Linked DNA regions of Xenopus tropicalis. The protein of the gene in region 2 interacts with the protein of the main gene of each other region in a pairwise test. Links are inferred from orthologs where the notes say so. Each region holds a gene or a part of one and is shown on either strand. Other genes may lie near its edges. The genes, in order: khk and lhx9.

The links.
Region 1: the proteins of lhx9 (region 2) and khk interact in binary tests that used the Homo sapiens proteins (3 or more experiments, as listed by UniProt). The two-hybrid records come from large-scale screens. The link is inferred for Xenopus tropicalis from reciprocal best matches to the Homo sapiens genes LHX9 and KHK.

The regions. Positions count from the first base shown.
Region 1 is NC_030681.2:161,502,618-161,507,195, reverse strand, and holds the start of khk (ketohexokinase), read right to left. Parts: upstream 2,858-4,578; 5' UTR 2,826-2,857; intron 2,799-2,825; exon of another isoform or gene 2,167-2,798; intron 1,149-2,166; 5' UTR 1,140-1,148; coding exon 1,048-1,139; intron 866-1,047; coding exon 749-865; intron 1-748. UniProt on the Homo sapiens protein: Catalyzes the phosphorylation of the ketose sugar fructose to fructose-1-phosphate.
Region 2 is NC_030680.2:111,159,089-111,162,129, reverse strand, and holds the end of lhx9 (LIM/homeobox protein Lhx9), read right to left. Parts: intron 2,322-3,041; coding exon 2,064-2,321; 3' UTR 786-2,063; downstream 1-785. UniProt on the Homo sapiens protein: Involved in gonadal development.

The DNA.
Region 1 (4,578 bases), on a different chromosome or scaffold from region 2:
CAGGGCTGGGTACTGGCAGAGGGTACTGGGACAGGGCTGGGTACTGGCAGAGGGTACTGGGACAGGGCTGGGTACTGGCAGAGGGTACTGGGACAGGGCTGGGTACTGGCAGAGGGTACTGGGACAGGGATGGGTACTGGAAGAGGGTACTGGGACAGGGCTGGGTACTGGCAGAGGGTACTGGGACAGGGCTGGGTACTGGCTGAGGGTACTGGGACAGGGCTGGGTACTGGCAGAGGGTACTGGGACAGGGCTGGGTACTGGCAGAGGGTACTGGGACAGGGCTGGGTACTGGCAGAGGGTACTGGGACAGGGCTGGGTACTGGCTGAGGGTACTGGGACAGGGCTGGGTACTGGCAGAGGGTACTGGGACAGGGATGGGTACTGGAAGAGGGTACTGGGACAGGGCTGGGTACTGGCAGAGGGTACTGGGACAGGGCTGGGTACTGGCAGATGATTAGTGGGGGACACAGACACTCATGGGGGGGGGGTAAGAATTCTATATTGCAGAATCTCAGGACAAGAGAGCCCTGCCAGACAATTATGGGCACTGACACCCACTGAATCCCAAACTACAGACTCCACCCCCCCAACATTTTCTCCCAAATACCTTCCCAGAACTCTCTTCTCTATGCCCCTCCCCCTTTAATATTAATGAGCCATATTCTCTGTACCCCTGGGACTGCCCAATAGCCAATAGCAATCCCTCTACATGATCCCATGGCTGTTTCCTACAGTCGGTACTTACTCTGCCATATGCCCGGGGGCCAGGGAGCCCATGAAGGCACAGGGAGCCCCCAGTAGTGCCAGGATGGTGCAGGAGTTGGAGGCATTGCCCCCGCGCTGCCAGCGCTGAGACAGGCACCTACAGAGGAGACATGTGGGTCAGACAGAACCATACGCAGTGCCGGCAGGTGGGCACAGGGAGACACAGGGGGGCACAGGGGGGCACAGGGGGACACGGGGGCACAGGGGATGGAGTTTAGTGTCAGCGAATGGCACGTCCCCCAATCACAGCAGTGAGTACATACTCAGGGGATCACTCACCTGCTGTCTGAGTCCTCCTCGGGGTATTTATCCACCACACTAATAATATCCAGGCACACCAGCCCGATGCACAGGATTCCCTTCTCCCCCATTGCTCCCCTCTGTGGGCAAAAGAAAAGATTCAAAACAAGTGGGAAGTGCTCTGCCCCCGCTGGTATGTGACCCTTGCCCTACGGCACCGCTGCGTGTGAACCTTGCCCTACGGCACCGCTGCGTCAGCAAACTCTGCCCTTCCTCTCTTTAACAGAAACTGTATCTGCCCAGTGCCTTGTGGCTCCCTATATCTGTCTGTATATATATATATATCCCTATATCTGTCTGTATATATATATATATCCCTATATCTGTCTGTATATATATATATATCCCTATATCTGTCTGTATATATATATATATCCCTATATCTGTCTGTATATATATATATCCCTATATCTGTCTGTATATATATATATCCCTATATCTGTCTGTATATATATATATCCCTATATCTGTCTGTATATATATATATCCTATATCTGTCTGTATATATATATATCCCTATATCTGTCTGTATATATATATATCCCTATATCTGTCTGTATATATATATATATCCCTATATCTGTCTGTATATATATATATCCCTATATCTGTCTGTATATATATATATCCCTATATCTGTCTGCATATATATATATCCCTATATATGTCTGTCTGTAACCCATGCCATTTAGCCGTATCAGAACTGGAATGGCCGCTCCCCAGGCTACACAGCACCGTATCTATAGAGCAAACACAGTTATTACCAGTGCACATTAATATATACGTGTATAAAAGACTTTCATTTTTAGGCTCACTAAATCTTCTCAAAACTGATCTGTAGCCCCTCTACGCCCGCTGCCTCGCATCCCGCTGCCTCGCATCATCCCGCTGCCTCGCATCCCGCTGCCTCGCTGCCTCGCATCTCGCTGCCTCGCATCCCGCTGCCTCGCTGCCTCGCATCTCGCTGCCTCGCTGCCTCGCATCTCGCTGCCTCGCATCTCGCTGCCTCGCATCCCGCTGCCTCGCATCCCGCTGCCTCGCATCCCGCTGCCTCGCATCCCGCTGCCTCGCATCTCGCTGCACATACTGTGACAGTACCTATTAAAGAGCAGTATCTCCCAGTATTTGAGCAATGGAGGGGACTGTGCTGATTTCATTTGGGTTGTTTCATTCAGGGAAAATCTCTGCTTATTGTTATTTCTTGAGCTTAACAGGGAAAGTGTTAGGTAGGTAATTAGATTCCCAGGGTGCAGATATTCCCCCTGCATAATGGGCTCCTGCTGACAAAACAGGCAGAACAAAGGATAACAAGAGAGGGTTGTTTATACAGAGCTCAGTATTTGTGGTTGAACTAAAGCCATACATGTACTAATAATATTGCACAAAACAATCATTGGGACATGTATGGTCCCCCCCCAGGCAATGTGGGGCATCGGTTGGTCAATTTAGTACTAACAGCAGCCAATGAAGCAGGGGGAGGAGTCACAGCTCATATTGTAATGAGAGGAGGCGGGACTTATTTCTACCTGATGCTGACAAACAGGTGAGTATGGGGGGAGGCAGTGTTATTATCACATTCCCCGCCCATGGGGGGGGGACAAGCTTGCAAAGCATTTCAAACAGCTTGGGGCCCCTTTCTTCTCCCGCTCCTGGCTCTGCCCTTATCTGCCCCACAGGCTCTGCCCTTATCTGCCCCACACGCTCTGCCCTTATCTGCCCCACAGACTCCCTGACTGACACTCCCATCCGCCACTAACCTGCCTCTCCCCCCAGCTTCCGGGTTCTGTCACACTGGCCCCGCCCATAGTGGAGATCATGTGACCACTAAGAGACGCACGCCCCCCTGTGTATTCACACCGCACGAGTGGAGAAATGGATGGGCGGGGCTATCTCTGGATGGGCGGAGCTATCTCTGGATGCGTGCTCTAGCGCTAGCGGTGCGCTCCGGTTACAGAGGCGCAGGGTTGCCAGGTTGGCAGGTTTTTCGCCAAAGTACAAACCCAAAGTCAAGGTACAAATTTAGTCCCGTTTTTGGAGCCTTGGCGGGTTTGTAGTTTGGAAACTAGCCAAAGTTGTTTTCCTCTGACGTACCTGTCCCAGTGCATGTTGGGTAATGTAGTTTGTATTTTACAATTAACCCACAGCTAAGATTAATATAAAACTACAATACCCAGCATGCAATTATAGATAGAGGCTCCCTTTTCCATTCCTCTGCTGAACCTGAAGCAGCAAAACTACAATAACCTGCAGGGACTGGCTTATAGCCCCCCACCCCCAGCATCGCTGCCCCCCGATACACGGGTGTAAGGAATGGGCCCCAGATAACTGACTCCGCAGTCACATTCCGTAGGGGCAGTTCCAGTCACTGCCGGTTGGAGCTAACGAGCAGCGACACATTCTGTCCGGCCCGGGGCAAATTGTCCAGTAATTGCGCCTCGTAATGATAAGTAGCAGCTGTGCAGGGTAATTTGTAGCCTTCCGACAGGGAAGCGCCTCTGGGCTGAGACTGGGCGCCGGGAATATTCCGTGTTAGATCTCTATCATTAGCCAATGAGGAGCCTCTTGAGATTCCAGACTGGGGCAGATCCCCACGGCAATGAAGCTGTTAATTCCAAGTGTCTTTGGGCTGAAGTTACCTGTAGGGCAAATATCCCCTCTAATACACAGGGTGGGGAGGGGTCCTGTACTGTATATTAGGGGAAAGGTGCTCTGTGTGATTCATTGGGGGGGAGGAAAGGAGATTTCACCATCAGCATAGGAAGGGGTTCCTTACTGTAGGGGTTTGCCTACAGGGGAAGGAATATATGTGTACGTATCAGTATAAGGTTAGCTTTGCCTTTATCTCGCTGTGCCAGTCGCTGTGCCGCACACAGAAGCTGAGGGTAAGGAAACTCAGGAAATGCTGATTCAGTAAAAATAAAATATGGCTCAGGCTTTATTCCATAGAAAATCACATGACAGTGCGACCGGATAGGCACATGCTAAGGCTTTGGGTGTCAGTGCCCTGTAATCCTGTAGCGTGGCACTGCATTGGGCAAGATGGAGACAGTAGGGCAAGATGGAGACGGGACAGTGGGGCAAGATGGAGACGGGACAGTGGGGCAAGGTGGAGACAGTAGGGCAAGATGGAGACAGTAGGGCAAGATGGGGACTGTAGGGCAAGATGGAGACAGTAGGGCAAGAAGGAAACAGTAGGGCAAGATGGAGACAGTAGGGCAAGATGGAGACAGTAGGGCAAGATGGAGACAGTAGGGCAAGATGGGGACAGTAGGGCAAGATGGGGACAGTAGGGCAAGAAGGAAACAGTAGGGCAAGATGGAGACAGTAGGGCAAGATGGAGACAGTAGGGCAAGATGGAGACAGTAGGGCAAGATGGAGACAGTAGGGCAAGATGGGGACAGTAGGGCAAGATGGGGACTGTAGGGCAAGATGGAGACAGTAGGGCAAGATGGAGACAGTAGGGCAAGATGGAGACAGTAGGGCAAGATGGGGACTGTAGGGCAAGATGGA
Region 2 (3,041 bases):
AGAGCTACAGTACAAAATGGCTAGCCTCTTTGTTGAGAAAAAAAAAAGTAGTTATTATAGTAACCACAGGAAAAAAAATGAGTTTCAGATTTTAAAAAGCTTTTGCATTTATTTTAAATATGTGTGCACTTTGTTCTGTAAAACTGTACATATTTCACAAGATACAACAAAAAAAACACAAGAAAAAAAGTAACATTCTGCTTTTTCTGGGTCTGTTTTAAGCAAGCACCCAACATGAAAAAGTAAACAATGCTCATTTGCACATAAGATATTGACTTTTTTTTATACAAAAGTAACAAAAATATTATATATTAGAAATATTTAATGTTTGTCTGGTACAATCTATCCAATACCAAAAAAAATCAATGGAGAAGAAAAACTCACTGTTCACAAAACATTTTTTACAAAATTGTATTTTGCTTATTTCCATTTTACCTAAAAAATGAACGGTTCAAATTGTTTAAAATAAACATGCCACAAATATACAGGTATAGGATGCCTTATACAGAAACCCGATATCCAGAACACTTCAAATTACGGAAAGGTCATCTCACATAGCCTCCATTTTTACTTCAAAATTTTAAAACATATTTTCTATTTTCCTATAATAATAAAACAGTACCTTGTACTTAATTCCAACTAAGATATAATTAATCCTTATTGGAGGCAAAACTTTCCCAATGGGTTTATTTATTGTTTAAATGATTTTTTTTCGAGTATGGAGAAGTATAAAGTATGGAGATCCAAATTATGGAAAATCCCTTATCTGAAAAACCTCAGATCCCGAGCATTCTGGATAACAGATCCCATACCTGTACATCCAATGCTTATTTTTAAAAAATATATTAGAAATATTAAGCTTCCTAAATTTTGTGGAAAACCATTTTTGGCAAAAAAAAAAAAAATTACAATGAGAAAACGAATGATTTTCCTGAAACTTAATATGCATCTTTCATCACTTTAGCAGAAAAATGTTGTGTGAATTACATTTTTTTTTACTTTGTGTTCATTTAAAAAAAGTAAAACATTTTGACTAAAATTTAGAATGAAATATAATTTTATTCCAGTTCATTTTGGTGAATTTAATTCAAGATTATGGAAATAAGTAATATACAATTGTATAGAGGCACTTTTAAGGATGTGTGAATTTGAATTTAACCCTTACCTCATTTGATTGTTCTCAACATAAAAATAAATGATGACACCGATTACTTGTGCCAATAACTTACATGTCATTTTTTTTGTGCATCCAGTCATCGCCCCATTTGCTATTAAAGGCAGAGTGAAATCTAGAGAACAGGTCTTTCTGCAGAACCATCGAAGGACATTTAATATAATTATTGAGAGAGGAGAACAGAGGGAGGCTCACTGGAGGAAGTAAGAGAGAAAAGTCTAACATTTTTGAAAAAGATGTGCAACAGAACCGTTTTTAGCTTCCAAGAAGGTAGGAAATGAGCTTTTGGACAAATTTTAATAAATAGGGCAATTTACTACAATAATTATTTTTTTCCTGAAAAGTGTAGTGAGACTTTTTCAGAGCTAGCTAGATGGACACACAAAAAGAAAATCAATGAACGTTGTGGCAGGTCTGTGACAGCAGTCAAGCTGCAGTCCCAGCAATATGAGTTAATGGGCATAGAGAATTTCACAGTGAGAGAGATAGAGAGAAGAGCAAAATGTAAGTGAAAATCCCCTGCACTGGCAATGCAATAAGGTTAATATATTTCAGTAATAGGTTATATGCAAGATTTCACACAAATGTTTTTGAGGGATTGTCATTATCTTGCATCTTTACAAGCTCTGCCCTTCTACATATATCCTTTTCAATTTAGAGTTCATGTTACCACCTTCATCATGCAGACTTTAACATTTTCTGTGAACAGTAATACAACAGAAGCCTATCTTCTGCATTTGCTTCACTGAGTGTCTACCTTAAATTTCTTCTTTCTTCCAAAATATTTTGAAGTGTATTTCAATGGATGGTAGAAAAAAATAATAATAAAAATAATGCAGTCTTGTGAAAATATTCATAGGGGACAGCAAGTGTAGAGCCGCAGCAGATGTTAAAAAAGGTTGGTTAGTGTTGTTTGAGAAGGGCTCCCGGACTCATGGGTGTCCATATTTGGGGTTACAGATGCCCCGACATTGAGGGAGGGGCTGGTGAGGTCTGATAATGTGGACGTGGCACCGGTTGGCGTTAGTGCAGCACTCTCTGCAGATGCTGGAGCGCTGAGAGAGGGACCTTCAACTTTATCGCCTCCCCCATTCTCCTGACGCAAAAGATTCCTTCTGAATTTCGCTCGTGCGTTTTGAAACCAAACCTGCAAACCAATCCCAGGGCATTCCTTTACCAATTATTTTATTTATTTGTTGCTTTATTTTGCTGGCTTTCTAACTTCTTTGTCCCTACCTTTTTCTTTAATGGAAGCTAAATACAAAAAACAATCATTGCCTTGTACCTTTAAAGGAGACATATAGCATATTTCAAAAAACATAGCTGAAATAAATAATATAATGGCACCTGATTTAAGGTTTGGCTATATATGATCATTACCTCTTAAATTTAAACATTTTGGAACTCTCCATAGATCACTTTGGATGCACGAGTAGTGGCAGTTTCTTAAAACAATAGATTTTTAGTGGCAGCCAACCACAGTTTTTCCCTCCCCTATCAGGTTCACCAAGCCAATCGCTGTCTGCCCAAATCATGGCAATAGCCTGCATAGTGGCTCTCCTGAACAGCCATGGAAATAGCTTAAAGCAGTAGAATGACTGGCACTTTCCTTCTATTATAGGAGTATAATGCAATAGAAAATACTTGTTATTGAGACTATATGTCACCTTTAAATTGACTTAGCACTAGAATATATTATTTATATATGTATTATCCCTAATAACTTGTCTTTATCAGAAAAACACATTCATATTTATAGATGTAGAAGCATGAAATAATGAACTTAGGCAAAAAAAAATTCAGTGTTGTTTTCAGTAGGGTAATACATAAAACAAAAGAATAATGAACCATATAGTGTGAAAGTCTC